4 linked regions of the Lonchura striata genome follow. The protein of the gene in region 2 interacts with the protein of the main gene of each other region in a biochemical or structural test. Links are inferred from orthologs where the notes say so. Each region holds a gene or a part of one and is shown on either strand. Other genes may lie near its edges.

Evidence for each region.
Region 1: the proteins of MAPK8 (region 2) and MAPK8IP3 form a complex in vitro, tested with the Homo sapiens proteins (3 studies listed by BioGRID, with this or other methods). The link is inferred for Lonchura striata from reciprocal best matches to the Homo sapiens genes MAPK8 and MAPK8IP3.
Region 3: the proteins of MAPK8 (region 2) and DUSP10 form a complex in vitro, tested with the Homo sapiens proteins (2 studies listed by BioGRID, with this or other methods). The link is inferred for Lonchura striata from reciprocal best matches to the Homo sapiens genes MAPK8 and DUSP10.
Region 4: of the proteins of MAPK8 (region 2) and NR4A1, one has a biochemical effect on the other in vitro, tested with the Homo sapiens proteins (2 studies listed by BioGRID). The link is inferred for Lonchura striata from reciprocal best matches to the Homo sapiens genes MAPK8 and NR4A1.

The regions. Positions count from the first base shown.
Region 1 is NC_134618.1:1,663,373-1,671,068, forward strand, and holds the start of MAPK8IP3 (C-Jun-amino-terminal kinase-interacting protein 3), read right to left. Parts: upstream 3,012-7,696; 5' UTR 2,879-3,011; coding exon 2,561-2,878; intron 1-2,560.
Region 2 is NC_134609.1:14,838,194-14,846,039, reverse strand, and holds the start of MAPK8 (mitogen-activated protein kinase 8), read right to left. Parts: upstream 3,003-7,846; 5' UTR 2,917-3,002; intron 1-2,916. Other genes in the region: FRMPD2 (FERM and PDZ domain-containing protein 2), read left to right, coding at 3,727-3,854, 4,806-4,877, 5,552-5,726, 6,546-6,696, 6,793-6,931, 7,811-7,846. UniProt on the Homo sapiens protein: Serine/threonine-protein kinase involved in various processes such as cell proliferation, differentiation, migration, transformation and programmed cell death.
Region 3 is NC_134605.1:8,119,759-8,126,967, forward strand, and holds the start of DUSP10 (dual specificity protein phosphatase 10), read left to right. Parts: upstream 1-4,205; 5' UTR 4,206-4,298; intron 4,299-5,862; 5' UTR 5,863-5,906; coding exon 5,907-6,708; intron 6,709-7,209. UniProt on the Homo sapiens protein: Protein phosphatase involved in the inactivation of MAP kinases. Has a specificity for the MAPK11/MAPK12/MAPK13/MAPK14 subfamily. It preferably dephosphorylates p38.
Region 4 is NC_134629.1:6,183,550-6,191,515, forward strand, and holds the start of NR4A1 (nuclear receptor subfamily 4immunitygroup A member 1), read right to left. Parts: upstream 3,015-7,966; 5' UTR 3,013-3,014; coding exon 2,203-3,012; intron 1,964-2,202; coding exon 1,834-1,963; intron 1,723-1,833; coding exon 1,571-1,722; intron 1,194-1,570; coding exon 991-1,193; intron 916-990; coding exon 737-915; intron 647-736; coding exon 390-646; 3' UTR 1-389. UniProt on the Homo sapiens protein: Orphan nuclear receptor. Binds the NGFI-B response element (NBRE) 5'-AAAGGTCA-3'. Binds 9-cis-retinoic acid outside of its ligand-binding (NR LBD) domain.

The sequences.
Region 1 (7,696 bases), on a different chromosome or scaffold from region 2:
TTTCTATGATTGTAGTATTAGCCCTAATTTAACAAACCATACCTGTACAGTCTGTTTGTGCACAACTGCTGCATAAAGATGAACAGCAAGGTGTGATGGCTCTTCACAGTGGTAATCAGCCAATACAATGCACATTTTAATGCCAGAACAATGCCCACCTGTGGTTCCAGTTACTTTGAATTTAATAAATTAATATAAAGTAACTATAACTCAGGGTCCTTTGACAGGATATTGCAAGAGAACAGATCCATTTTTCATCTCCAGCCTCTCAGTGTCAATTTAATTGTAGTAATTGGCACGCATACACAGAGAGGAATCAAAACTAAGGTCAAATCCTGTTTCCAGGGGAGGATCTTCCCAGTTAGAAGTGAAGATCCCACCCAAGACTTGAGTCACAGCCTAGGAAACTGATGCTGGTGGAGAGGTGGCATGGACAGTCCCTGGTCACTGTGGCAGTGTTTCAGAGCAGCAATGCAAGTTCTGAGAAGAAAAGTTTTCTGGGTTTTGATTGTGTACAATAACCTGGTAGCCAGCAGAATTCCCTGTCATACATAGACTTTCACCCCCATAACACACAATTTACTGCAGAGTAAACAGTGCATGGGATAAACAGGTACAGAGAAATAATGTACTTTGTTATATATGGAGGAAAACAGCAGCCATGTATTCCATGTACGACCTTGTAATAAGGGCTTGTAGAGGCAGAATTCTCATTTATTCTCATAAGAAACACATTATCTATTCCTTTTGATAACAAGCCTCCTTGCAGACACTTCTCCCACTTACACTGAGCTATGTGTAACAATGACAGAGTATCTTCTTCATCATCATCATCACTGGCATTTTTTAAATCTCACTCTCTAAAAACACCATTGGTAAATGGTATTCTGCCATGGTTCCAAAGTTTCCTTGCGGGGAATTTAACTGCCATCAGTACATTTGCTTCCAGAAAACACATCCTGTATCTATTAAGACCAGAACAGAAATGCACCCCAGTCAAAAGACGCAAGATGATTCCAACTGGACTGTTCCAACCCCCATTGGCAGTCCCATTCTTTTCCCATAAAGAGTAAATTTTAAAAATTATTTCTCAGAAGCTGCAAAATGCTGTCTCTACACAACACAAATAAGCATCATGTACTTAGAATAATTTTTGACCCCTACAAGCATTCAAAAGAATTTTATGATCATTTACTAATCTATTAATACATAATTAAAACTTGGGACTGAAACTTTTAACTGACTGGCTCTTGCTTTCAGTATTAGTAATGGACGACAAGTGTCCTCCCCACTGAGTTACCAACTTTCTTGCCCATGATTATTAAGCAACACAAACATGTCTATGAAAATCTCACATCTGCTTTACACCATTCTCCAGTTCAACAACTATTTCATTATTACCACTTATTTTATTTTATTAATTACCCCATATCAAACCAGAACTTGACTCCTAGGAAATCAAGTGAATCTTAAATCTTCTGCTCTTCCTTAGTCTTAAAGACAGAAAAACCCCACTTCTAAAGAAGTTTAAAGGAGATGATGTGGTGGGGATGATGTGGTTAGGATGGACTGTTTTCAGCAACAAAGCTCTATCCTAGCTCACAGACTGTCACTCCAAGAAGCTGAACAGCAATCCCTATGGCCCCCATCCTTCAAGGCTGAAAGGATGTTCTATTTCACCAGGGACAGGCGCAGACGCAGCAAGATGACAGCGTGCAGATCACCTCCCCTCTGTCTTGTCTACATCCGAGTCCTTGTAACCGGAGGATTCTTCTTCCTCTCCATCAGAGGGATTGGATTTCTCATGAGCCACTTCCAAACAACGCCACCAGCTGAGCAACGTTGCCCCCGCTCTCCCGAGAGCGCATCCACGCTCCAGGAAACGGCAGATACCGAGTTGGGAACGATTTTATTAAAACTCAAGGCACAGTTTTGATACAAATAAGCTTCAAAAGTAAGATATTATACTCTAAAGGCAATTCCTTGCTGCAACGAAACAGCTTACAGCCGACATTGAGAATGCTGGATGACTACACAAATTACCCATTTTAAAAACTATATTTTACACCACAAATTATGCTGACCCCTCCGGATGCTGTTGGCATTTCAAACTAAAATCCTAATTCTTCAAGAATTCCACAGGATTGCAGCTATTGCGGTTTGTGGTTCGGCTTTTTTCCCTCCCGCTGTCAGGGGCAGCTCAGCCGCAGTGGCCCCGGCCCCGCGGGGCGGCGGAGGAGCCGGGCTGGGCCGGGCCTGCCGGGGCCGTCCCGGGGACAGGAGCACCGCGTCCCGCGGGAGGGGATGCGCCTCGCCCGGTCCCGCCCCCGCCCTCCGCTTCTAGAAGGAACCGGCGACCGATGCCCCGGGGCGCCCGCCGCCCCCCCCGCCTCCTTTTGAACCAGGTCCACCGCGGGGGAGCGGGCAGTCGGTCGAAGGTCTGCGAGAGGCGGCCGAGGCCGCAGCCCTGAGCCGCCCCCGCCACCGCCTCGGCCCTCCCACTGCCCTGCACTGGGGCCCCCGCCCGTGGCCAAAACAGTCGCGAGGCGGCGGCGCTCACCTCCTCGGCCTGCTTGCGCAGCGCCTTCTCCCGCTCGTACTGCGTGAGCAGCTGCTCGTTGTCCTCCCGCAGCAGCTCCAGCTCCACCTCGTGCTCCTGGTTGTCGGTGAGCACCGAGTCTAGGTTCTCCAGCACCGTCACCACCAGCGGCATCAGCTCCTTCACCACCTCCTCGTCGTAGCAGTGGATCAGTCGCTCGAACTCGCGGTAGATGCTGTTGGCGAGGCCCGAGACCCGCTCCGACATCACCGACCCCGAGCAGTAATCATCGCCCGGATACCCCCCCACGCCGCCATCGTCTAGCTGGATCTCCAGCATCCTGCCGGCCGACAGCCCTCAACCCCGCTCCGCTCGCCTCCGCTTCGGGCCCTGCTGACACCGCCACCGGGCGCTGCCCCGCCCCGCACGCCGCGTCAAGGTCCGCGGGCACCGGCCGGGGCGGAGCGCGGCGGCACCGCCCAGAGCCGCTAGATCGGGGACGCAAGCTGCCCGTGCTGGGAGGAGGCGGGGCGCCGCAGTGCTTCTTGCGCCGGAGCCGCGGGCGGCGCAGCTCGCGGCCCGTCGCGAGCCCCGCGCAGACAAAGCGCTGCGCACCGGGGCCCCGCGAGGCGCGATGGGGGCGCACGAGGCCCCGCGCTGCGGCGTCACGCGCAGACACCGAGCGGGGGCCAGCGCGGGCCCGGGTCGCGCCGCATCCCGGACACGCGCTGGCTCCGGGAGCCGCGTTAGAGACCCGTCACAGCCGCGGTAGTCGTATTTCCGAGATGAAGCAGCCGTAGTTACTACAGAGAAAGCAGACAAGGATCTGTTCAGTCAGGGATGAAGAAAAAGCCAGAGGGCCAAATATGGCCATCTCAAGTCTTCAAAGAAAATTCAGCACAACCACCGAATTTAATCAGATTTCCCAAATCAACAGCAACACACACCAAATTACGGACAGCAGCTCCAGCAAATTATGGGCGGTAGCCTCCAGCACCCTCAACAGGTGTCACAGAAGTTAGAGTCTGCCACATCCTGGGCTCAGCTGGGCTGTAGAGTTGGAAGAAGACAGCAGGAATCATTATTCTCTGAGAACTGAGAACAGCCTGGCAGGAGAAAGAAATAAGGGGTTGATTTGGAAAAGGCTTCCCACACCTTCATTTGGCTTAGAGCCCTGAAGAGTGTAATTCCAAGGTCGTGACTAGCAATGACCCTAAAAGCTTCATACTGCAAAAAGGGAAAGAACTTTAACCCTACCCAGAAAGCCTAATTGCAGTGGGAATATCACATCTCACTTATAATTAAGAATTTTAAGTTTTATGACTGTTTTGTTCTATGTTACAACAAACACAAGAGTGTGCTTTATTAAATGCAAGATTGCATTGAAAATATTTTGAATAAAAATATACAGGTGAACAGGGAGAGAAGCAAGGCAGGCAAAGAGGTAAGACTTATTCACTGATTCACTAATTCACTAATTCCATATTACACTGAACTTCTAATCTTCTGTAACCTAGAGAGCATGTAAAAACATTTATAAAGTTTTCTTGCATTTTTCCCGCATACATAAGAAACTGACACAATGGACATGACACAAACTAAAGCCTGTTGAACCACAGAGACTGATGAGCTCATAGCATTACCCACTCTTCTGATTGTAATCCCAACAGGTCTAGCAGGCATCCCTGAGGGGAGGGGATATCAGTTGAAGTGCATCCTCCTTTCTACAACAGAATCCTGGTTCAGGTCCAGTGACTGTGTTAAAGCTCCTGCTGAAAGGCAGTGATTGCCTTAACTTAAATCAATCACTAAAAGATACATTCCTGTATTTATAAATTCATAAATAACTTCAAGTCTAGAGATCAGTCAAGAAATGGCAGGAATGCTAGGTGCTGCCATGCATGAGAAAAAATTAAAATACCACTTCCAGGTCAAAGTTGGCAAGCAAAATATTTGCTTATTCTACCCTTTTGGGGGTTTATTGCATCTAGCATAGGAGTTCAAGTTGTTATTTGCTTAGCACTAAAAGCAAACTAAAAACTGACTGTGCTATACATATGCAATTGTGTTATGGCTGCAAGGGCACTTTGCTGAAGAGCTTACCTTTCCAAGTAGGCAAAGTAAAGGCACAAGGAGTGAGAAATTGATAGAAACACTGAGACTATGAAAGGAAAATCAGGATTCTTTTGCAATAACCATATGACCTCAAATTAACTATTGGGGATTTTTTTTCCCTTAGACAGGTGGAACTTCGCTTTGTGAAAGAATAAGTATTTTTTAGGTATCTTGGTTTGAAAGACAGGTGTCTGCCAAGGAATGTGGGAACTTCTCTTGGAAGAGAAAATGTGACTCCCTTCCCTCCAAATTATTATAACTCTGAAATTATGGGTCTTTTGGGAAAAGATAGGATAAAAGGAATAGCGTGTCTTTACTAGTAGATATATAGATATAAATATAGATATATATGTATAACAAGGCAAACAAACATCAACAATGGCAGCAGCAACAACAAACAAAATACCAGAAACCCAATCACAGCCTTGTCTCAGCCGCAGACACCCTCCCCTTTGGTGCAGTTCTGCTCACAGCCGGCAGGGGCACTGGTGGCTCCTGGCCTGGCAGTGCGCATGCAGTGATTCCCCCCGGCTGCAGGGGGCGCCGTGGCGCAAGGTCAGCCGCTTCTCCACACGGTGATGGAAATTCAGCCGGGAGGGCGGAGAGAAAAGGGGCTCTGTTTACAAACCCACAGGGGAAGCCAGTCCTGGTGCCCGTCCAGATGGAGAAATGGGCTGTAGCAGGAATCTCGGAGCGCTGGCTAGAACGGCTGAAGTTCGTCACCCAGGGTGACAAAAAAAATGTAGCAGAAAACTGCAGCCTTTAGCAGGAGCTGCAATAGTTGGGTGGACACAGTGTGTTGGGTAAGGGTGTAGCACGAAAGCCCAAGGCAGTGGCAGAAAGCAGTGGGCTGGGCAGCAGCAGCTGGGCTTCTCCATAGCAGTTGCCACACATACCCAGGAGACACACCCTCAGGATTCCAGGGGTCCTGGGTTTTCCCTGGTGGCACCCTAGTAGATGGTGATGATCCTTTCCAGTCAGATCAGGCATTACTAAGGTTCCAGCTCAATGGCTGCTCTTAGGAGCAGATGCTCACCCACAGTAAGGAAGAAAGCAGTGTTAGAAATGAGACACATGACTCAGCCAATATATCAAGCAGCAATTCAAATTATTAATTAATATGGTAACGTATGAGCAAACACAGCGCAGGGTACAGTGGTGGGGGTTTTCCCCTCCCACTGCACACTGGTTGTTGGTCTTGCTGGTATTTATTGATCATAGTAATGCAGATTCATAAGCTTTTCCCAGTTTCTACATGAGCTTTCAACAGTTTCCGTTTCTACCTTTAACATCACAATTCTATACCTCATCATCAACATGATGGTGATATTTGGTTCTTTTCCAATTTCTATAACCTATTGTGTATATCCCAGTATGTGTGTCCAGATGGTGGGGTCCAACTTCTATTTTTGGGGATCATTAATCTATGGTAGTGATGTCCAACTTCCCATTTTGAAATCATCTATCAGCAACCTTGATGTCCATCTTCCTTCTCCAGGAGCTTGGGATAGGGTCCCTTCCCTTTCTGTTTAAATTATTTATATTCTAAAGCTACAGCTTAAAAATCCTTAGTACTCAGCAACATTCTAAAGTTATAATTCAAAAGCTCTTATTACAAAACAGGTTAAGAGTTATACATTCTAAAGCTACAGTTTAATAACTTTAATACTAAGCAACATTCTAAAGTTATAATTCAAAAGTTCTTATCGCAAAACAGCTCAAGACTGTTATATGTAGTCAGTGTAATTCGTTCCAGTATAATATGATAAGTGTAATATTTTATATTGTTGGAAGTACACATGCTGGCACTGGGAGGTGCCCCCACATATTCGAAAACCGGTTTCTGACAAAACCTCATTTGCAAACTAATACATGGGGTTCACCCACAGATGGGTCGTTTCTCAAGGTGATACAGGAACGCCCAGGTGCTGATCATCCAGCAACCATCTATTCTAGATCGGGATCACTGAAATCCTCCTGGTTGATACATCTGAATGCCGTGTTCCCGTAACTCCATCAAGAAGATTCATCAGCACTGGACACCGAATTGTTCCATCCCAACACAGAGGAAAGAGACTTTATGAATATGTGGGACTTTGAATGTGAAGAAAAGACGGATTGCCTGCTTGTACCAGGAGGGTGGTGTGTGGGCATCGGGGAAACCTCTGCTGAGGCTATCTGCTCTGTGACACACCCAGTCCCGATCCCGGGCTCGGCACTGTCTGTTTCCTTGTGGCTGGCTGAGAGATAATTCGATCTTAATAATACAATTTTTATTTTTTAATTTTTAATTTGGCTGGATCAATTTTTATCTATAACAAGACTTATAATTGTTATTTGCAAACAAAAAACTGGTTCAAAAGCCTTCTTTCATGCTTTCCTCGGTTGTTTATTAGAACTCATCTTTATAATTGTCTCATGGCCTTCTTCCACACATTTCGTAACCACAACTGCACAGGTTGCCTTTATGTGCCTGTCATGAAACACAACTTTGTATTTCACAGCAGTAACAGGTTGGACTCCACACGGCGGCAGCAGCTCGACTGTTCCCCTCTGATCCTGAGAGCAAGAGAAGAGCCAAGCCCTGTGGAGTTGTGTTTTTATATGCTTTATTACATCTTTATTCTGTCATGGTTTGTTCCAGTGTACCCCCATACTGTATTGGTTTCTCCCTGAGTTTTCCTGCCTTTCCCCAAGTGTCGGTTTCCCTGGAAGGTGCCGAGTCAGTCCCCTGCCCTTTCCCAAGTGCCTTGTCTGTCAGTCGGTGCCCCTTCCCCTACCTCTGGAAACTTCCATCCAGGGCACCGAGTGATTGGATGAGGGCCTGGGACCCCTCCCCTGTCTCCCCCTCACTGGATCCCCCCATGTCCATCCCCACAGAGTCACTCCTGTCTGTTCCCCACTGGCTGATCGGCCCCCCTCCCTCTCCCTATGGAACATGTTGCCAGCACTCCTCAGTAGCTCTTGTTGGCTGGCCCCCTCCGGTGCTGTTGGATCCACAGGACCTCAATAAACATCGGATTTTTGCCCCAACAAGTGCCT
Region 2 (7,846 bases):
AGCCTGCTTTGATAATAGATATCTATATCTATATCTATATCTATATCTATATCTATATCTATATATTATTATATTTATATAGAATAAATAACGTAATAAATACATAATATTCTACTATGTAGAATAAATAAATAATGTTCACCTACTCTTGGTTTGGCTCCAAGTCCAAAAAACCTGGGCCCTGAACGATCCATACAAAGCAGATGCAGGAATTCCACATTTACTCTGTACCAGTGTGTCCTGCCAGATGCCACAGGCCTCCCAGAATAGCTGCCCCCAGCTGTGTCTCCCCCAGGCAGGGAATCAGCATTAGTCCCCTGTGACTGAAACAGCTGGGAAACTGCTGCACAGACACTGTGGAAGGATGGATTTTATGATCTTAGAGGTCTTTTTTAACCTTACTAATGATATAATTTATGAAGGGAAAAATCTATTGAAAAGGTATTAATAGTCATCACTTTCCCTGTCAAGGCATTCTGCCAGAGTCCTTATTTGTCCACATTCAGATTTTGGATGTGGTCTAGCCTTGCTGTCACATTAAAGTGCTGTCACACCTTATGTGTTCTGTAGTGGTTATGTGAAACCATGTATATAATGTATAATTTTCATTTGCATTTCCATCTCAGTCCTTATACTGATTTTTCTCACTTGTGTCAGTCATGTCCAGCCCTGCACTGCCACTGTACTGGAGAGTTACAGGAAACCCAGGGTCACGAGCAGTAAAGACCTCTGCTCTGTCATGAGGATTAGCCTCATTTCAGCCATGGAATGGACAGCAGCCCTGTAGACATTGGCAAAGAAAAGTGAGGATTGTACAACTGATACTAAGTCCTTTTCAATAGCCAGGGAAACACCCCTGCTGCCAAACAAGAATTTTCTAGACTGGGTGTTAGCACAGTGCAGCTTCCAAACAAAGAGATGCAAGTACTGTCAGTCTCTAGGCATCACAAAGCCCAGAATCCCATAGTTAAGCACCATGTAATCCCTACAGACATCCCATTTAAATTGGGTTCTTGACCCAGTTAAACAGGAGTTTCTTCTTTTAACCATGACACGAGTAATTCAGGCCCACAGGAAATGCTCAATTTAGATCAACTCCCAATTAAATGTGTCCTAAGTAAACAGTTTGAACTTCCTGATAAATCAGCCATGATAATCTGGGCAATATGAGATACCCCAGTACACCTGTAAAACTGCAACAAGAGAGATCTACAAGCAGATTGCGGGATAGTGGCTGCTTTTGTCAAGAAAGAAGTCTCTGTCTACTTGTCTAACTACACACACACATATTTGTGTATGTGTTCACCAACATCTATATATGCATCATATATCTAACAGTTATATGAGTAACAGAGGATTTATTTACTGAGTACTTCACAGTAATTTCCATGCCTCTGACTAAAACTCTAGATATGATCTTAATGTACTTGATTTAAAATCATGCTGCCAAGAATAAGTTCACCTCCTCTGCTGAAGGACGAACTCTGTTCTCCAAATTTCCAGCAAGCTGCTTCCCATAGAACTTCAAGAACTTTAAACCCCACTCCTGGCTGTAAGCATCTGCAACTGAATGTCTACCACAGTCACCATTCTATTACAAGTACCATTACAGCAGTGGAGTTGAAATTACTTTGGAAATCACGTTTCCCATGTAGGAGTACAACCAACACAAAAATTAGTGATGGGTTTACTATCTATAAAGCTTACTTATATCATCATGCTCATTCTGTAGGAAGCCAAATTAACATAACTTACATCTCACAAAGTGAAGCTTGTAAACAAGGCTCTGGTCTATATCTAAAGAAGACACAACTGTAAAATCTGGCACATCTCACCTAACAGGAGTAATAACAGGAAGTGTTTTCCACAGTAAAAGAAAGCCTTCTTAATAATGAATTTTGGATTTTGAGGAGAGGAGAGGAGAGGAGAGGAGAGGAGAGGAGAGGAGAGGAGAGGAGACTCAATAATCATCTAGTCCAACTGCCTGAGCATTTCAGAGTTGACCAAAAGTTAAAGGATGTTATTAAGGTCATCTCCAAATGACTCTTAATAACTGACAGGCTTGGACCAGTGACCATCTCTTAGGTGGCCTGTTCCAGTGTTTGGCCCCCTCTTAAGGGAAAAAATGGTTCCTAACATCTCTGAACTCCACGTACTGTAGTTTTGAACTGCTCCCATGTTCCCTGTTATTGGATACTAGGCAGAAGAGATGAGAAACTACTCTAGTTAATTTTTGAAAAATTTTTAGAAATTCCTTGAATAGTTGCCTGATGTAAATCTTCAATGTGCAAAAGAAAATGATAAAACTTTAGGATAATGGAAAAGCTTCTATGTGTCTTTAGCATTTGCTGAAAAAATGTAATTAACAAAAATCCACCTCAATAAAACCCCTCCCGAACAACATAATCATTTCTTGTTCAAAGCTACAGTACAGAGACAGCTTTCTGATCTGAGGTTTCACACACCTTTTTCTTAATTAAATTAAAAAATCCCTCAGTTCCCTAGGACATTAATTTATCCTAATGAATTAGTATTCAAATAATTTAATTCCCATTTCTGGAAAAATTCTGAATAATGTAACAACAAACGTTAAGGCTTTCTGAAGCTTTTTTCTTGAGAAAATAATAAATGAGGAACTTTCTTCATCCTGTAGAATTCCCAGAAGGGAATGGGGCTGCACTTTTTGCCTGTCGGCTTCACCAAACTTAAACCAGCTGCATTTGGCTCACCAAATGAAGGAAAGAAACAAACCTGACTCTATTGAATCAAAGCAGAGTTTAGATTTATTTATAACGGAGAGTTATAAATAAATCTAGAGTTATACTCCTGTTAAATTTTTCTTTTTTTGTAAAGAGACATTAAGGAGCTTATAACAGACATTGTCCTGGACTTCATCATATTCAGTAGTTACTGTACCTTAAGATCTCTGCCCCCAGGTCACTGTTGTGTTGACTGCATGTTAGATCTTTTTCTCACATTTCCTTTGAAGGTCGGTGAGTGCTGTAGAAGAAATCCCGGGTGGAACTGCGAAGAACAGCCGACAGAACCTGATAAGCTTGGGATCCACCTTCTCTGTGTCCACAAAGGACTCCTCAGCAGCTGCCGCATCACAGAAATGTTTGTTCCACAGGAAGGAAAAGGTGAATGACGAAAAACATATAAGCTGATTTCAAAATGTAAATATCACTAAAGAGAAGCCTCTCATCTAATTTTTGTTTGACAATGATGTGCATATTAGCTACTGAGTCATCTTATTAGATGAGTATTCTAAATTGACAGACTCCAAATTAGGCATGATCCAGTTATGCTGTCAGAACCGAAGGCAGTGAAAGCAATTGTCTGTAAGGACTAAGCAAAAGCTCATAATTGAACCCTCTCTGACCTACATATGTGATTTCTGCCAGCATCAAGCACCATATGGACTGTTTTCCCCAACCACTTCGACAGCAGTTTCAGAACAGCAAAAACTTTACAGAGACAGTGTACCCAAATGCCTGCCAGCCAGTGATGCTCAAAGGACTTAAATTTCTTTTTACAGTGCATGTCTGGACAGAAAGCATAGGCTGACAGTGAATGGGCCCAGACAGTAGTTCTCCTAACTGACTTTTTCTACTTTCTAAGTTGTAGTAGGACTCTGTTAAATGGAAAGGACAAAGTTTCTTTCAAAGGTATGCTGTTTTGCAGTCTTTTCCGGTTTGCAAAAATTCAGAAATAACTTATTCACAGAAAACTCCACCATGATCCTTCATATGGAGTTTTCTGTTGTGGAACAAGAAGGGACAGGTTTCAGGCTGATGAACCCTTTCACCTCTTCCCAGTCCAGAAGCTCAGCAGTGACCAGTGACAAATATTTGGTCAAGAGCTTCACTTAGATACTTTGGAAAATTATATTTCCTCATATGAATTTTATATTATATTTATTTTATACATTATATTTATATGATTTAAATGTTGTGATTATGGTTTTTGTGGGGATAATAACAGCCTTTCACAGGAGTTCAGCAACTGTTACAACACAGTGCTACTCCCTCTTTAATGTGATGCAAAACTGCATTGTCTGTTGGTAAGACCATACTGCTATGAAATTTCTTTCTTTTTTTTTTTAAGTATCTAAATGGGTCAAGTTACTAAGTCACGGTGAATGGCTGGAAGGATTCACATCTTATTATTTGAAGACATTTAATTATTCTGTCTGCTTAAGGGATCTAAAAGCATAGATGTATCTGATAAAAACCCAATATATACAACTAGTTGAGATGGATACTCAGCAAGGAAAAAAGAGCTTAAAACTGTTGAAGTTATTTGCAATTAAAACAAAAGAATACAATGTCTAATAATAAGAACCATCAGTCAGCCTTTATTATGGGGAAGAAAGCAGCTCTGCATTTCAGTCTAGTTCTTAGGGAAGTTGGGCTTAAGCAATCACAGTGGTGTGTTTGTATGTTTCTGTGTCTGTGACTGTCCTCAAAGTAATTTGGGAATCAAATGAGAAAAGGTCTCAGAATAAATTGTTTCTATAAGTGTCATGAAAATAGATACCTTGCAAAGGAAATGGATTTTGATTAAGTACCTTTACAGAAGAAAAGGCTTCCACATGAGCTTAGCCCTACTTAGACCCTGGAGAGTCTACAAAGGAGAGACACCAAAGAGAGAGAAGTCACCAGTCAGCATTTGCACCTTATTCAACACTGAAGTCAATTAGGTCCAGCATACAGATCAATAGAAATGGGTTTCATTGATACTTGTGTTTGGGATCTTCATTCCATTAAGAAGACTTACAAAATTTCTAAATTGCCTCCTTGCAGTTTTCAGGTCCAGAATTTATTATTTTGTCAAGTGAACCACCAGTGACCTTACAGCTGCCTGGATCAATTGTGGTAAGAATGAACATTAAGGATTTTGAACAAATCCAGTGACATTTCAGTCAGGGCTCTTTGTAAATAGCACCTGAGTCTCAAGCCAGTATTCTCTCCATGTCCTCCTCTCAAAACAAGTTAGGGTTCCTTGCAGAGATATTGAGACTTGAAAGGGTGTCCATTAATTCTTAGTGCTATTTAGTTATTTCTGTTGGTGTAAAAAAAAGCTTGATTTATCCTTCTCAGCTAAGAATGTTCACTTTAGCCCTAGACCTTTGAGACAAAGACTGTGTAGTAAATCTGCAATATGACATCTAGTTCCAATGCATGGGACTTCTCCAGCTTGCAAGCAGATACTTTACCTTTCATCAAGGTAAGGTAGAAAGATGACAGCAGATAGCTGTAAAAATGAGAGCAAAACAAATTTGGAAGTAGCACCAAATCTAGAATAACTCTGGCACCTGGAGAATTTGAGTATGCTCATCTGTTTTGTTGTGATTCTTTTGGTTTTAAGGAAATAAGAAAAGTTTGTGATATTAATTTATGAGAAGGGAGGCAGAGATTAGCATGGTGTTGTGACCAATTCCATCAGTTGCATAGAGACAGGCTACTAGTGGGCCTCAATATAAAATGCTGTGGAACTTGCATTGCTTGTACTTGGCACTCATTCTTCATTCTTTCTTGCATGTTCTTAGACTAAAAAAGGGAAATCCTATTTGTCCCAAAGGGATCTCAATGTGATTCTACTCAATGGCCAGTGCCTTGAGGTGCAATGTGATATCAAGACCAAGGCAAGAGATGTTTTCAACACTGTGGTGGCATATGCAAACTTGGTGGAGCATTTCTACTTTGGCTTGGCTTACCTGAAAGGTAACGAGACAGTTATTTATATATGAGACAATGCCTCTGTAGTCACTTTATCAATGAATTCCAGTAAGAATTAATCAAGGAATCATTCAAGAATGCATCAAATAATCATTCATCAAGAATTAATTCAAAGATCCTTTAAGATCCTTGGGTAGAAGCAGACACAAAGCTTGTGCAAAAGTAAGGTATGTTGGTTTAAACTGCATTGCACTGGTGTAAAGCATGTCTGCCCTAGGACTGTGCACAGCACAGCCATACAACATTTACTCACTGATATTCCCAGGCAGAAAAGGCTGTATCCCAGCCTTGCACTCAAATAACACTGAGCCATGCAGGTCCAGCAGAAATTCCAGGAAGCATTGCACTGGGAAAGGCTGCCTGTGTTTATTCCTAGATATAAGTGGGAGTACAGGTTCAGCTGTGTCATCTACCAGACCCACATCTCCCTGGTCCCCTTCTGATGGCAGGCACAGCTGAGGCACTGGGAAAGAGCACACCTTGTGTGTGGGCATGAGGATTACAAAGGGGTGCAGAACCTGAGTGGTGAGAAGAATGCAAGCTCCATGAGTCCTTGAGTGATTTCTCAGATACCATACTAATCCAGCATCTAACATTTGTAATCCAAAATTACATACTGTCCTAAGTTCTACATCAAAGGAGCAATAACTAAAATTTGAGAAGTTAAAGCTGAGAACTAAATCTTAGCTGACATCCCCAATCCAATTTATTTTTTATTGCTAGTGATGCACTCTATGAAGACAGCAGAACTATGCTGCTGAAGTATATCCAGGTTTATCACAGAACCCAAAATTCTCATTTCAGGTAAAGAATTCTTCTTTTTGGATGAGGAGACCAAACTCTACAAAGTGGCTCCAGACGGCTGGAATGACCAACCCAAGAAGAAAATGTCCATCATTAATTTCACACTTTTTCTAAGGATAAAATTTTTTGTCAACCACTTTAATGTTATTCAGTAAGTGCAAAATTCTGCTGACTGAAGGAAAACTGGTAGCATTTAGGGATACCATTCAAAGCTCCTCCTGAGTTCCTAAACCCTTTTCTATTCCAGGCATGGCTTGACAAGGCACCAGTTTTACCTGCAGCTTCGTAAAGATATTTTGGAGGAGCGATTATATTGCAGTGATGAGACTGCCCTGAAACTCGGCGCTTTGGCTTTACAGGCAGAGCTTGGCAATTATGCTTCTGAGGTGTGGAGAAATAATACAGTATTTCTCAGAGGTCTCTCTCTACAACTTTTGCAGCTTTTGTCACATAGAGTTTAAAGAAGAAATGTGAATAGCAAAGAACTTCAGTTAAGTCCTCCAGATAAGTCCTTCAGACTTAATTTTAAAAATTACAAAATATTCCTGATTATGGAGTAGTAATGAGCCAGGTGAATTTGCCAGGAAATATGGCAGAATGATGAGAGAGTCTAGGTCCTTCATTGATAATATAGCCTAGAAACTCTAGAAAATCTGTAGAAAGTTTCCAACACAGGCCCAGCTTGGATGTGTGGAGGGGCTTAAAGAGATTAGTAAAGAGGGAAGAGAAAAGCAAATGAACGCTTCAGAATTCACAGCTGTCTTATGTGTAGGCTCAGATCCACAAGCTGCAAAGACAGGGAGGTCTCTGATTGTATATCTGAACTGGCTGTCCTAGTTTTCAAGTGCATATAAAACACCCATTTATGTTGCTTCCATAACTTCAGCTATGTAAATCAGGGTAGCTCTGTTAATTGAACTCGGAGTGGTCTAATCCATGTGGTCAGATCAATCATGGCAATGGGTCCCCCACTGTAGGTTGTACTGATGCAGCTGTAGCTGTCAGCTCTAAGGGCAGGACACGCCTGTAGGCCCAGATCCTTCCTCTCCTCTGCCCAAAGAAGTGATGTGTGCTTTGAGCAGCTGCCTGAGCACAGGGGCAAGAGGCAATTTGGCTGTCAGGACACTGCGTGCTGTCCCCAGTTTCCTTTGGGAAATGGCAGCAGGGTGACTTCTGCATATGGGTCACCCTGAAAATGGAATGCGATGAATAAGAAAAGTCAAGAAAGAACAAAAGGCTCCTGTCTCTTTGTTTTTCCCCCACAGATGCATGGAAAGAGCTATTTTCGTGTTGAAGACTAC
Region 3 (7,209 bases), on a different chromosome or scaffold from region 2:
TTCTCACAAAATGGCTAACAGTGTTTCTCAGCTTTGCCTATGTAGTGAACTGACATTTCTAGCAAGGACAAACAAAGGTGCCATGTGATGTAGTAAAACCTTACAAGAATCAAAGATTGCTTAAAAAAACAAATGGGCAAATTTAAGTAGTGAACACATAGATGTTCAGTCTAGCCCCCAAGGACATTTTCTTTTAGCCACTTCATGTGATATCTGATGAAGTAAGTGCAAGTTACAGGTTTGCAGTTGAAATACTGTGCTGGTTAGCACCTTTGTTTTCCCCAGTTTCCCAATTTTCTGCTCCACTGTGTAAGCTGTTGTGTTACTTTAGAGAAGTCACTCAGCCTCTTGCTTCCCATTTCTGCTGGTAAAATTGGGAACTTGCATTGCTCTGTTCAAATGACATTCTCAGGAGGGACAAGTATCTGTCCTTTGTTGTCTTTACACACAACCTGTTACTGTGAACTCCTGGCTCTGGTTGTTACTGTGCCCCTAAAACCAGAATAATGCTACCCCAGAGAGCAGCCAACATTGGAGTGCCCCATTCTGCAGTCATATGTACAACAGGTGAAATTCTTATTTCATGCATGACTCCAGAGATTTGAATGTTCAGGGGATAGGACAGCACACCTTCTTCCCTACTTTGGTGCAGGGAAGGTGCTGTATATGGCTGTGTTGATGAAGGTAATTATATTCTGGGTCTTTTTCTAATCCTAAACAAGATAAAAGGTCCCTGATTGTAGAGTGGAAGAGTGATTGATGTGCAAGAAGTCTGTCAATAAGATTGAAATAGGTTTCAATAAGTTGAGCTGGAGAGCACTTAAGGGGTGTCTGTGCTATTGGCAAGAATTGTGATGGCTTCTTTTTCACATCTGTTAAATATTCAGCGTGTGCTTTTAGCAATCTTTACCCTTTTAGTGAGGTTGAACAGTTCTGACTGGATTTTATGCAATTAGTATACGGTGAGAGTTTGTGACGATTTGCTTAAATTCTGAGATAATTTCACTTTGTCTGCTTGTGGTTTTCTTCAAATGTCTGAGCAAGTGCACCATGGTGGCAAAAGCATTTGAAGAAAATAAATGTCAAAATCCCATGTGCTGCTACTGGTGGAAGTGGGAATTCAACTAAGATGTGCCAGCTTTCATAATAAGAATCCTTGTGTGCTTTTTAGAGAATAGAAGTTTAGTTTTTAGGGAACAGATAAGTCTTGTCTGTTTTGGGTGTTGAATTACAGAGAGCAAAAGCATTTAGAAAGCTGTTCATTGAATAGGCTCAGAAAAAAAAGTCATAGCGGGCTGTGGTTTCTGAGAGCAGGAAAAAGGCCAATCTTATGTCATAGGCTAATAAAATTTATTAAGCATGAAGTCAGCAAAGTTGTGTAGGAAATCCTCTGAAACTGGGGTGGAATAGCAACTTACCGTCAACAATCTTAGAAAAATAAAAAGTTAAGTAAAATATGAAAGAAAATAACATTTGGCCTCTCTTTGTATTGTAAAAAAACTTGGCAGAGGTTGAATATCCTTCAGAAGGGAGCATTGCTCACTGTGAGTAACCTCTGCACAGATCTCCTGTGAGAAGAACTCTTCCATAAGCAAGTCACAAAATATTTTCTTGGTGCACATTTTTTAGTACAGTACTGAGAAGTTTGGTCAGAAAGTAAAATCAATGATTGCAAGTGTTTTCTAACAAATATTTGCCTTAGGAGATGTCTAGCTTTGGGAGATGCACAAACAGGAACACGGTTTCCAGCTGCCTGGGTGGAAGGTGCCATTTCAGGTGGTGAACAGAACACAAGCCCATGAGGAGCTCCTTCCCCAAGCCAAAGTGTGGCCTGAAAGGGAGGTTTTGAGGGAAGCACCCCTCCTGTACTGTGATCCCAGTGCCATCCTCAGCAAGCCATGGACAAAGAGGAATAGAGAACGCGGAAATGCTCCAGTGGCATCTGACAGTGGCACCTCTGGGTAACTGACCAGTGTTTGTTTGTGGAGTCCGAGTGAGACCTGTGCATTTCTCCATTGAGCTGTTTGCCCCATCGCTGGGCAGGGCAGCTGTTTTTGCAGCAATTGCACTGCACTGTTAAAGCCTGGTTTGCATTTATGCTGGGTAGCATGGGGACTTATATTTTATTAATATTTTATTCAGAAGGTAATACCTCCAGACTGTGGTCTTTGCTGGGTGAAGTCACTCTATGACTTAATTGCTCAAAGTCTTTCCCCACATTTGCTCTCAGTGGAAGCAGAGTGCTGGAGGGGAAGCTGTTACAAGTGAGAGCCTTCCCCCACTTTCCCTTCCATCCCAGTGTGCAGGGGAACTGGTGCTCTGCTGTGGTATCACAACACTGGAAACCAAAAGCCTGAGTTTGTGCTGGATGAGTTGCTGTCCTACAAGGAACATTTAGGGGAAGCGACTGATTTTTGAAAGAATGGCTGTGAGGAAAAGGATTTGCTGTTTACCTTAGAACTATTAATAAAAAAAAAAAAAAAAAATCAAGTCTTCAGTGCTTCTAAAATCTTGCTCTCTTTTTTCAAATTTTTTTTAAACTGAGTTGCTGGATGATGATATCACTGCATTTTATATACTTTTTTTTTTTTTTTTTTTTTTTTTTTTTTTTTTTTTTGCAATAGACCCAGTTGGATTGGTGGTTACAACTAGAAAATCCCAGTTGAAAAATTAATTATCCACATACATCCCAGAACCAAAATCTTTGAGGGCTGGGGGCTAATTTAGATTCAATCTTATCATGCTGACAACTTCTTACCAGCTCTAACTTCATCTTTCCTCCTGTAGCCCAAAGCTTGGTTGGCATTCCCGGCTGTAGGTGAAACACTTTGTCACTCCCATGGTTAGGAAGGACACGGGAGGATGCATTGCTCTGGAGATGCCGCTTTCCCTGTTGCTGACTTGGTGGATTGATGGACTGGTACATGATGAAATGTGGTTGCTGAACCAGGAAATGTGTAAACAGGTTGCACAGTGAGGAAGGAAGGGGTGCAGAAATCCCATGCTGCTGCCAGGTACTCTTCTAGTGTGTGTGATGAGCTGATCCCTGTGGCTTGAAAATCAGTTCTCACCTTGTAGTGCTCACATAGGAAGGGTGAGAGCTCATTACTTTGCCCATGTCAGCCTCTGACAGAAAGGATGAAAGGGATTCATGCTTATCCTTAAAATCTTGTGCTCCAAAGTGTGCTGCTTTCCTTTTTGCACTGACTAGACTGGGGGAGAGCCCAGTCTAATCTGAACATTCAGGATCTTTACTGGAGAATGTGCCAAAGCTGGGTTCTGAGTTTCCATAGCACGGAGCATCTGGGGGTCAGGCAGGCAGGGACCTCCAGGCCTGGCTGTCTCTGAGCAGTGTAGGACACATCTCCTGCCCTCCCTGTGATTTACTGATTTTGGGTGGGGAAATGACTGTTCTACTCTCAAGAAATTAAGTGTGGGCTTGTTCTTATCTGCTCCAACTTTACCCTTCCTGCTGTAGCTCAGTGCTGGGCTCTAGATGAAACTCTCCAGTGCTCCCGTGGTCAGGTGGATTGGTAGGGAGCATCATTCTGGAGATGCCACTTTCCCTGTTTCTGCCTTGCTGGCTTGATGCGTGATGGACTGACCCAGGAGGAGATGTGTCTGCTGGCTTTTCCTGCTCCCAAGTACCTCGTGCGGGCTCCTTTCTGACAGGGAAGGACTGCTTGGAAAAGCCGCTGAGCAGCATCCTCTCGGGTTGGCGCCGCTCGTCCACTGCCGAGCCTCCCGCGGCGGGGCTGGGGCGGACGGGCAGCACTGCCCGGTGCCGCCGCGCTCCGGGAGCGGGGCCGACGCTCTGCTGGGCCCCGTGGCTGGTGCCGCGGCCGGACGCGGGGCGCTCCCGGGCTCTGCTCGTGCTGCCGGGGGTTGCTGCCCGCCCTGAGGGGGCTCTGCCCGTCCTGAGGGGGCTCTGCCCGCGCTGTGGGGGCGCTGCCGCGGGGCCGCCCCCGCCCGTCCGCGGGGAGCAGCGGCTGCCCCGGGGCGCGGGGCCGTCGCCGCGCCCTCCCCATTGGCTGCCGATTACGTCACCGCCCCGCCTCCGGGCCGCCCCCCGCGCTGCGATTGGCCGGCGCGGCCGCCCGTCGTTGCGGGCCCCGCCCCCGCCGGGCCGTACATTTACGCGGTAGCAAAAGGGAAAGTAACGAGGATGGTGCGGGCGGCGCGCGGAGCGCGGGGCGGGCGGCGCGCGGGGCAGCGGGCGCGACTCGCAGCGGCTCCAGCGGCTCCTCCCGCGGCGGCCGCCGCCACCTCCGCGCACCGGGCCGGACCGCGACGCGCCGGTGAGTGCGGGACAGCCGGGCCGCTGAGCGGGGGCACGGCGCGGAGCGGGGGCCCGCGGCCGCGGGAGCCCGCGCAGGGGCTGCCGCGGCGGGGAGCGCCGGCCCGGCCCGGCCCGCCGCGCGATGGGCGGCAGCCCCGGCTCCCCGCGCTCGGGAGCAAAACTTCAGTTTCCCGCTTTTCGCGGGCTCTTTCGTTGTTTTCCCTCGCTGGGGGAACTGGGTTGCCTCCCTCGTTTATTTTAAAATTTTAACTGCGTCAGGCGAAGGCGCTCGGGGCGTCCTTATCCTAGTTCTGAGCCTAAAATAGGGCGAGGGGCGGGTTGGGAAAAGAACGGGCTGGGAAAGCCTCCCGAGCGAGCCGCCGCTGGCCCCGCTCCGCCGGCCGCGGCGCCTCCGCCGTGCCCCGGCGCTTTGTGCGCTCCGGAGGTGCCGCGGGTTCGTTCCGCGGGTTCGTTCCGCGGGTTCGTTCCGCAGAGCGGTGGCTGCTGGCGGTGGCGGTGCCCCCCGGCCGCCCCCTGTTCGGGATGGGCATCTCCTGACCGGCCCGGTGCAGAGCCAGCCGGGGCGGCAAACGGGAGCTGCGAGTGCTCGCCCCGCTGCGGGGCTTGGTGGAGTTGGTGAAGTTGGTGCTGGGATGGGTTTTTCAGAGGGAGCTGCGGCTGCTCCCGAAGTTGCTGGTGGAGGGCTGTCAGGGCCGGCTTCGGATATTTTCCTCTTTGCGGTCTTCCTTGACTGCCGAGGGGGGATTCTAATCCTGCATGCTGCGTCCTAGCAAATGGGAAGTCAAAGGTGGGGCAGGCAGTGACCTTGACTGGGGCAGAGGGGACCACTCTTTGAAGAAGCTGTGAAATGTATTGGAAAGCAGGGAACTTGCCTCACGAACTGCTGGAGAACAGCAGCTTTCCCGAGCCTGGAACTAGGGGTTTAACTGAGACTGGATTCACCTCTGACAGGGGGAGGGAAGTGCAAGGTGCACGCTTAAAAGGATCTCTCAAAACTAATTTTTTTGTTTTCTTCTGGGTATTTTTTTGTTTAGCCTTACGTGTTCAAGTTTGTAACTGTCTCAGAAAATTTATTCACAGGCTAATTTTATTCCAGCCTGCTGGAAAAGTTGCATATCACCCCTGACACATTCAGCTATTCAGCTCTTACACGTTCCTCCCTGTAGTAGACTCAGCCCAGTAGTTGCTTCCTTTTCAGTGAGCAACGGGATAAGGGAACGTGCCTCTTGTCATTATCAGTGGTGAGCCTTGCAGCCTGGGGTTTCAGAATAGCTCAGTACCGTCTGCATGTAGCTAAATGCCATCCCTGGGTGTCACTGTACAGTCCAGGCTGCTCATGTGGGTTCTGTGTGCCATGGGCGCACATGCAGATAGCTGAAGTATTCTCTGCAGCCCTGAAAAGGGCTTTTAGCAGCTACTGTGAGCTGGTAACTGTCAGAAGGGGTTGTTAGGTTAGGGATAATGGGTGTCGGCAAAATAAGTTGTTGGATCTGTAGGTTTACGTGATTTCATGATCTGTTTTCATCACCTTTTTTCTTCTTTCCCTTCTTTTCCTTTTTCAGGGTGATCTTGAGTTCTTCTTAACTTGCTAGTGCTCAGCCTCCTCATGCCTCCATCTCCTTTAGACGACAGGGTAGTAGTGGCACTTTCGAGGCCAGTGAGACCTCAGGATCTCAACCTGTGTTTAGACTCTAGCTTCCTTGAATCTGCCTCTTCTGCTGGTGAGAGCCACTCCAGTCTGCTCGGCGCAGCTGTCGTGTCCCTAAAGACTGCTAATCTCACGTATATGCCCTCATCCAACGGCTCTGCACGCTCCCTGAGTTGTGGATGCAGCAGTGCCAGTTGCTGCACTGTGGCAACGTACGACAAGGACACTCAGGCCCAAACTCAAGCGAGCACCAGCAGCACCCACGCCGGAGCCTCCCCCGCCTGCCCTGCCAACCAAATGGTCAACAGCAATGAGAACGCCGGCAGCCTGAGCCCGCTGGGCGGAGTGGGGAGCCCTGTCTCGGGCAGCGCCAAGCAACTCGCCAGCATCAAAATCATCTACCCCAATGATCTGGCCAAGAAGATGACCAAATGCAGCAAGAGCCACCAACAGAACCAAGGGCCTGTCATCATTGACTGCAGGCCCTTCATGGAGTATAATAAGAGCCACATTCAAGGGGCTGTCCACATTAACTGTTCTGACAAGATCAGCCGGAGAAGGCTCCAGCAGGGCAAGATCACCGTCTTGGACTTGATCTCCTGCCGGGAAGGCAAGGACTCCTTCAAGAGAATCTTTTCCAAAGAAATCGTAGTTTATGATGAGAATACCAATGAGCCAAGCAGGGTGATGCCTTCCCAGCCACTCCACATAGTGCTGGAGTCACTCAAGCGAGAAGGCAAGGAGCCCCTAGTCCTTAAAGGTAATTCTTCTCATTGCCCAGACACAGTGTGTTGGTTTGCTTTGCAGTGTGTGCTCTCTGCTGATAGTGGCATCTTGAAAGCATCTATTTATCTCTAGGAAGTCCTGTGTGCTTCAAGTTACCAGTGGCAAAGCAAATGCCTTCCATGGACAAATCATGGAGCTGGTAGCAGAGAGATGCTTGCTTTTCTCTGGATGTTGTCCTTGAGTAGCAGGAGGGGTGAGAAGTGGAAGGAGGAGGAAATGTGCTTCCTGGTGTCTGGCTGTGCAGACAAAGAATTTCCCCCAGTGCTTATTCTGAGTATTTATAACCCAAAGAGCAGAGGTCCAGCAGGGGATACTTCTCTTTTAGCTTAGCAGCCCTGTTTTAGTCCATGTAAAACTGGACTCATAGGTGCTGAAGGTGGACAGTGGGAGAGTAGAAGGAGGGGGCAGGACAGATGAGGGAGGTCAATTGGTCTGAGGCATTGTGTCATGGGCCAGTCAGCAAAACTTGAGGAGC
Region 4 (7,966 bases), on a different chromosome or scaffold from region 2:
GCATTCTAGGGGTGATCCAGGGGTATACATAAAGGCTTGGGAATGGCCCAGGGGGTCCCAGGTGTCCCAGAGGTCATTCAGGAATCCACAGGGATGTCCCGGGCATCCCAGGACTGATCCAGGAGTGACCAGGGCAGGTTCCAGGCATCCTGGGAGCGATCTAGGGATGCCCAGGTGGTTTCTGGGCATTATGGGGGTCACCCATAGGGTGGGAACATCCCAGGGCTGATCTAGGGTACCCAGGGGATGTTCCAGGCATCCCAGGGGTGACCCAGGGGTGCCCAGGGGGTTCCCGGGCATCCTTGGACTGAACCAGGGTTGCCCAGGGCGGGTCCCAGATGTCCCCAGGCAGGTCAGGAGCTCACGGCAGCCCCTTCCTTGCCTGGGACTCAAAAAGGCAGAGTGTCCATGAAGATCTTGTCAACGATGGGTGGCGGCGGCACCAGATCCTCCAGCTTGAGGTAGAAAATGCGCTGGAGGCCCTGGGTGCAGAGGCTGCGCAGCTCGGGCAGCTTCCCCAGCAGCTTGGAGAGGCAGCTGGAGCGGCCGGGCTCGGCGCCTGCTGCCGCCACGTGGTCCTTGAGGCAGCCCACGATGCGGTTCTGCAGCTCCTCCACCCGCTTGGGCTCCTTCAGGCCGTGCCGGTCTGGGGGGACACACAGGCTGTGGGACCGCGGGGACAGACACCGGCTGCGGGTGGGGACGGGCCGGGCCCGGAGCTGGGTTTGGGTCTCACCTGTGATGATGACGAGGGCGGCAAGGCAGGAGAAGGAGGGGACGTCGACGCTCATGCGGTGCAGGCTCTGGGAGAACTCGAGGATGGCGTCGATCCACTCCCCGAAGCCGCGCACGCACTGCTGCCGGTGCAGCACCACGCCGTTGCAGAAGATGAGTTTCCCTTCCTCCGGCTTGGAGCTGGCAGCACAAAGCCGGGCGTCACCCCTGGGCACGGCTCGGGTTCCCCCTGCTCCGCGCTGCCCCGGGGCTCACCGGTATGCCAGGCGCAGGATGAAGAGCTCCAGGAAGGCCGACTCCAGCAGGAGGTCCTGGTCGTCCTTGGGCAGCTCGGTGAAGCCCTGGATCTTCTCGGCCCACTTGCGGATGACGTCCATGGAGCCGGTGAGCAGGTCATAGAACTGCTGCACATCCACCGAGTCCTCCTTCTCAAACGGGCACGGGGCTGACTCCTGGAACTGGGACAGGATGAGTCAGGAATTGGGGGATGGGTCAGGATTGGGAGAGGATGGGTCAGGATTGGGATGGGGATGGATCAGGAATTGGGATGGGGATGGGTCAGGAATTGGGATGGTCAGGACCTGGGACAGAGGTGGATCAGGAATTGGGATGGGGGTGGGTCAGGACCTAGGATGGGAACAAGTCAGGAACTGCTGGGCTAACAACAGGGATGAGTTTGAATCAGGAACTGGGACGGGGACAGGATCAGGATTGGGATGGAGACAGGATCAGGATTGGGATGGGGATGGATGAGGAACTGGGATGGGGATGGGTCAGGACCCAGCCCCAGCCCTGGCACGGCCCTGGGCGGGGCATGGAGTGGCACCAGCCCTACCTTGGAGTAGTCGAGCTTGGTGGCACTGGGGATGGAGTCAATGTGTGCCCGCACCAGCGAGGTGATGAGGCTGACCGGGGACGTGTCCGGCGGCTGCTTGGGCTTGGAGGGGAGCCGGCCCCGCCGCCCCTTCAGGCTGTCGGTCCGGACCACTGCGGTTGGAACTTGCAGTGAGTGTGTGCCCTCAGTGCAGCCAGAGAGGCTGCAGAGAGGGGACTCCCCGCTCCTGCTGGGTGCCCCCACCCGGGACGGGACCCTGCTACCTTCTTTGACCATGCCGACGGCCAGGCACTTCTGGAAGCGGCAGAACTGGCAGCGGTTCCTGCGCCGCTTGTCCACAGGGCAGTCCTTGTTGGCCAGGCAGATGTACTTGGCATTCTTCTGCACTGTGCGCTGCGGGTGGGGAAGGAGCGGCCGAGCTCAGCCCGGGGCGCTGAGCTCCGAACAAAAGCCCTTCTGTCCTCCCCTGCCTCCCTCTCCAGCCCAGCATCCGGCTCCGTGTCCGTGGGGAGGGCTCGGCGGCCGTGCTCCCTGCCCTGCCCCTCCCCGGGACACCCCGCAGCATCCTCCTGCCGCCGCAAAGCACTGTGGGAGTATCCCGGCGGCAGCCACGGCCCGGGGGTTCCCCTTACCTTGAAGAAGCCCTTGCAGCCCTCGCAGGTGCGCACGCCGTAGTGCTGGCAGGACGCGTTGTCCCCGCAGACGGCGCAGCGGCCCTCGCCCGCCCCGGGGCTGCGCACCTTGCTGGGCGCCAGCGCCGGCCCCTCCAGCAGCGCCGCGGCGGGGGCCAGGGGCAGCCCCCCGAAACCCCTGGCAGGCCCCTGGGCCGGGGGGAAGGCGTCCGTGTCCAGCAGCCGCGGGTCCACGCGGGGCGAGGCGCCAAGCTGCCCCTTCAGGGCGGCAGGGGACCCACCGGGGCTGGGGGCCGGGGGGCCGAAGGCGAAGAAAGGCGGCTGCGACCCCCCGCCCTTGGCCGGCTCGGCCCAGGGCTGCCCACCCTCGTAGTTCGGCAGCGGCGAGTACGGCCCGAAGGAGCCCTCCCAGCCCGGCGCCTGCGGGGGCTGGAAGCCCGGCGTGGCGGGCGAGGGGATGGAGCAGGGGCTCCCGTAGCAGTCCGAGCCGCTGGAGGACAGGGTCTCGTCCGGCTGCCCCCCGAAGGCGCTGGGGTAGCAGCCGTACACCTGGAAGTCCTCCAGCTTGAAGGCGGCGGCGGCGGCGGCGCTGGACTGGCCGCTCGCCGGCAGCTGGTAGAGGAAGGCGTCGAACTCGCCGGCGTAGCCCTCCATGAAGGTGCTGAAGCTGGGCAGGGCGGGGGCGGCCGCCAGGTCGGCTCCGGCCACTTCCATGGGGAATCGGCCGCCCTCGGGGCTCAGCAGCTCGGCCGGGCAGCGCTCGCAGGGGCCGGCGCCCGTGGTGCTGCACTGCGCCTGGATGCAGGGCATCTCTGCGGGGAGAGAGGGGCGTCAGCGGCGCCCCGACACCGCCCCCCGGCATCCAGGCAGAGGATGGAGACACGGTGGGGAGCGTGGGATGCTCCCCTCGTGCTGGAATTGCACCTCCATAGCCACTGGCTGCGTGGTGGCGGCCACCGCTGTCCCTGAGAAAGGTCACGGCACAGCCAATGGGTGCAAAGGACATTCCCCAAAACGCTGGCTTAGCAAAAGCCCCCGAAAGGGAAGGAGGGAGGAATGTGGCCAGCAGATTCCCAAGCCCTAGGGCTGGCCAAGGGAGCCAGAGTTGGGGCTGAACTGGGTTCTGGGGATCTCACTTCCCCCGTAACCCCTTTTGGGGCTTTTTGGGAAAATTGGTGCAGGCAGCCCTCCAGGTGAGGGGGAGAGGAGCCCACCCTCAGTCCCTGGAGCCCCCCGGGGCTGTGCGTGGAGCTGGTGGGACATAAGACAAGCGGAGTCCTGTGTCCAGCTGAAAGCCAAGCCAGAAGTGACCCCAATGGCAAGACGATAATGTAATTCATCTCGCAGACCTTTAAAGGTCACGCTGCACTGGCCCCCGGCCACGTCCTGGCACGGCCCTGCTGCCAGAGCCCCCGGATTCCCCCAGCCAAATCTGGGCAGCTCTCTCGGGCACCAAGAAAGCCGACACCCGCCAGGAGCTGGGTTTAAAAATATCCAGCGTGGGTCCAGCTCTGGTACCCACGGGATGGCACCAGCCCCCAGCCCCCTGCTGGTGGTCGCAGTGGAGTTTGTGCGTGTCCAGCTGGGTTCAGAGGGAACAGTGACCCCCCAGCTGCCTTCTGTCCCTGAATGAAGCCGAGGGGACTGTGCTGGGCACACGCCCTGGGGGACACGGTCTGTGCCAGTGGGAGTTTTCCTTGCCTGCATGAAAACCCTGGCAAATGCAACGCCTCGACCCTTCCCGTGCTCCCGGTTGTTTGAAGGTTTTGGCTCTCACCCGCTCGCTGAGAGCATTTGGGGTCCCTTCTGCCCTGTCCCCCCCCAGGGACCGGGCACAGATTCCCGCAGCAGCCTCGGCGCTGCCCACGGCCGGGCTCTGTCTGCAGATTCCTGGTTTGGGAGCGCGGGGCAGCCGCCCGTGCCCAGCCCCGGGGCTGCCGCCTGCACGGGCGGGTGGCAGCCGCTGGCACCGGGCCCCGGGCCGCGGGCGGGCGAGAGCAGCCGGTGGCACCGGGGGCGGCTCACGCTGCCCACGGCCCTGCCGGCACCTGCTGCCCGGTAATGCCGCAGCGGCTGCTGCCAGGCCCGCGGGGGCAGCGGGGGGTTTGCCCGCACGGGGCTGGCTGCGGGCACATCCCTGCTCGCAGTGCCCGGCGCTGCCCGCGTGCTCCTGCCTGCCCCGCTGCTGCCCTCTCCGGTTCCGTGACCGCTCTGCTCGGGGATCCCGGGGTGATGCCCGGTGTGGGGTGGCTCTGCCCCTGAGACGGGGCTTTCCTGCATCTGCAGCTGGCCCCGGTTAGGCTGCCGTGATGGGGGAACCAGCCCCCGCTCCCGCATGGCCCAACTAGCGGCTCCCGGTCCTGCGCAGCTCCTCACGGAGGAGAGGGTGGTGCCGGGCTCTTCCCGGGACCCCCGGCACCGGGACCTCTCGCTCTGCCAACTCCCGCCGGCTGCGGGATTCCCGGGTTTTCCCGGTGCTACCGGTGCCGCTGGGACGCCCGATCCCGTGCACCTCCCAGCGCCACGCGGGACGCCCGACTCGGCTCCTCCCGGTGTCACCGGATACCCACAAGGGGCAATCCCGCATAGCGCACGCAGCCCGGTCCCTTCCACCGGGACCCCCGACTCTCCCCGGTGGCACCGGGAGTCCCTTCCACCGCGTCCTTCGGACACGCGAGCCCCGGCTCCACGGGGACGCGCGACCCGGTTGCCCGGGGCGCTACTGGGACACCCGACCACATCCATCCACTTTGCAGGACGCCCACCGCCCTGAGCCGCCGGTGCCACCGGGATGCCCGACCCGGATCCTCTTGGCGCCACCTGCCACGCCCGATCTGAACCCCTCCGGTGCCGCCCCGGACAACGGCTCCTACTCCCCCGGTGCCACCGGGACACCCCACGCCGCTGCGCTCAGCCCGCCCCCGCTGCCAGCACGACCCCCTGCCCCCGGTGCCCCCCACCCGCTCCCCGCATCCCGGTGCCGCCCGTACCCGGGTGCCGGCGCGGCGGCGCTCCGGTTCCTGCTCCTGCCACCGCCGCTCCGCGGGCTCCGCCGGGCTCCGGCCCCGCCACTACTTTCTCTTAAGCGCTCGGTGACGCGCGGGGCGGCGCGGGGCCGGTGACGCACGGGGGGGGCGGCCCCGGCGGGGGCGCGGCCGTGACGCACGCGGGGTTCCATTGACGCACCCGCGGCCCCGGCTAAAAATACCCCCGCGGCCCCGGCTAAAAATAGCCCGGGCGCCCCTCGCTTCCCCACATATCCCCCCGGGGCACCGGGGGCCGCCGGCGGGGGGAGGGAGGCCCCGGTGTCAGGGGTATCCCCGGTGTCCTCGCAGCCGGTGGCTCCTCGGTATGCACGGTGTCTCCTCGCTGCTGCGAACCCGGGGCTGGCGTCCCCCGCTGCCTCTAGCCCCGGCCCTCTCTCGCTGCCGGTATTTCCGGTGTCCCCTCCTTGCTGGTACTCCGCTGCGCCCACCCTCGGTGCCCCCTCGGTGCTGGCATCATTTTAGTGCCCAGCCTCGGTAGGCTCTCGGTGTCGGTATCCCCGGTGTCCCTTCGTTGCCGGTACCACCATTCTCGGTGCCCTCGAGGCGCCAGGATCTCTGGTGCCATTATCCCCGGTGTCCCCTCGGTGTTGGCATCCCCGGAGCCCCCTCGGTGCCGGTATCTTCACTGCCCCATTCCCGGTGTCCCCCCGCCGCCGTTCTCCCCGGTGATCTCCCGTACCCCCGGTGCCGCTATGCCCAGTGCCCATGCGGGTATCTCCGGTGCTCAGCGGCGCCGGTACCCCCGGGCTCCTCCCGCTCGGTGCCGGGTGCGGGGGGAGTGCCGCGGGGTCCCGCCCCCGCCCGGTCCCCGCGGGGAGCCCCTGGCCGGGGCGATGGAAAGAGCGGCGGCTGCTGGCGGGCGCCGGCGCCGGGAACAGCGCCCGCGGGCTGGAAAGATGAGCTCAGCCGGTGCGGAGCCGGCCCGGGCCCGCGGGAGGGCGGACGGTGAGCGGAAGGGACCCACAAGCCCGCAGCACCCTCCGGTGCCACGCCGGTACCCCCTCAGTACCCTCCGGTACCATCCCGGTACCCTCCGGTACGGCTCCAGCACCTCCCGCGATACCCTCCAGTACCATCCCGGTACCCTCCGGTACGACTCCAGCACCTCCCGCGATACCCTCCGGTAGCACCGCGGAGCTTCTGAGCCGCTACCCTCCGATACTACCCCGGTACTCCCTTGGGATCTCCTGCTACCGACCCGGTACACGTCGGTACCGGCTCCGTCCCGTCCCTCGCCGTACCCGCCGGTTTCCATTCCCAGGGACAAACCGGGGGTCTGGGGGCACCCGGCCCGCCGTGCCCGGGCTGGCAGCGCCCCCGGGGGTGACAGCTCCCCCGTTAGTGCCCCTGCAGCGGCAGCGGCCCCGGTACGGTTCCACCGCGGGGCCGGGCCGGTGCCCCGGTGTCCCGGCAGCCGCTGCCGGCATCGGGGGTGCTGCCGGGACCTCCGGTACCGGGACCCTGCATGGCCTCACGAAATCCCCGGCCCCGTGAGCAGCAGCCGGGGCGGGGGCAGCCCGGCACCAGAGGGGTCCGGAGGTGGCGGCACGGGGGTACCGGAGGTGGCGGCCCGGGACCGGGAGCCGTTCCCTCGCTCCGGCGCCGCTTCTGGCTGTCGCCCGCCCCCGACGGGATTCCGTGACATCACACCTGCCCGCTGACGTCACACCGGTCACTGACGTCTTGGGGATCCCGCGGCACCACCGGGGCCGCCCCCAGAGGGATCCCCCGGGCCCGGCGGGACCTGCCGAGGGGCAGGGCCGGTGCCAGCCCGGGGATTCGGCCACGAGTCCTCGGGACACGTCAGACAGGAGGGTCGCAGAGCTGCCGGGGGTCCCAAAGCCACCGGGGGTCGCAGCCCCCCGCATCCCTGGCTTGGTGGCGGCGGTACCGGAGGCAGGAGGGTGGCAGCGGCAGCCCCCGCAGCCGGGATTAGCTGTACCCCGGGAGAGGTCGCGGGCACCGCGATGGCTTCGGGGGAGGAAACCCGAGCCCAGCCACCCTGGCAAGGCCACGGGGGTGCAGCGGGGGGACCCCTGTTCACAGCAGCCCCAGGGATCCCCCCTGACACCCAGGTGGGGACACGGGGACAGGATGACCGCCAGGCAGCCCCAGGGTGGGCGCTGGGATTTGCAGGGTGCCCGTGCCCGGGCGCTGATCAGCCGGGGCTCACGGCTACCCCTGGCTCCCTGCCCCGGGCCTATCTTTATCGGTAATGACAGGCGGTTCCGGGGCGTTCCCGGTCTGTACCCCGCAGCCTCGGCTCAGCCGGTGCCACGCGTGACCCCGGTGTCCCACGGCCATCTGCCCATTCCCGGGCGCACGCAGCCCCAGGTCGGGGCTATAAAAAGCTCAGCGTGGGGTGGCAGCTGCCACGGGGGGTGCCGTGGTGACTCTGACGGGAACGGGATGCTCCGACCCGGGCAGCACGCGGGAGGACACCGGGAGCCGCCGGGGCTGCGGGGCCAGACCATAAATGTCCAGCACGGAGCTGCCCTGGAACGGGGACAAGGCAGGAGAGTGTGGGGGAGCCAGCTGAGCCCCCACCCCCCGCTCCACGGCACGCACAGACACCCGCAGTTCTCACCCCCAGACCTCCAGAGGCTCTCCCGGGGGGGACGGGGAGGGCAAGGGGAGAATTGGGGTCCCCAGACATGCAACAGCCCGGCCAAAGGGGGAAACTGAGGCAGAGCAGAGGGCTGGGGGCTCTCGGTGCT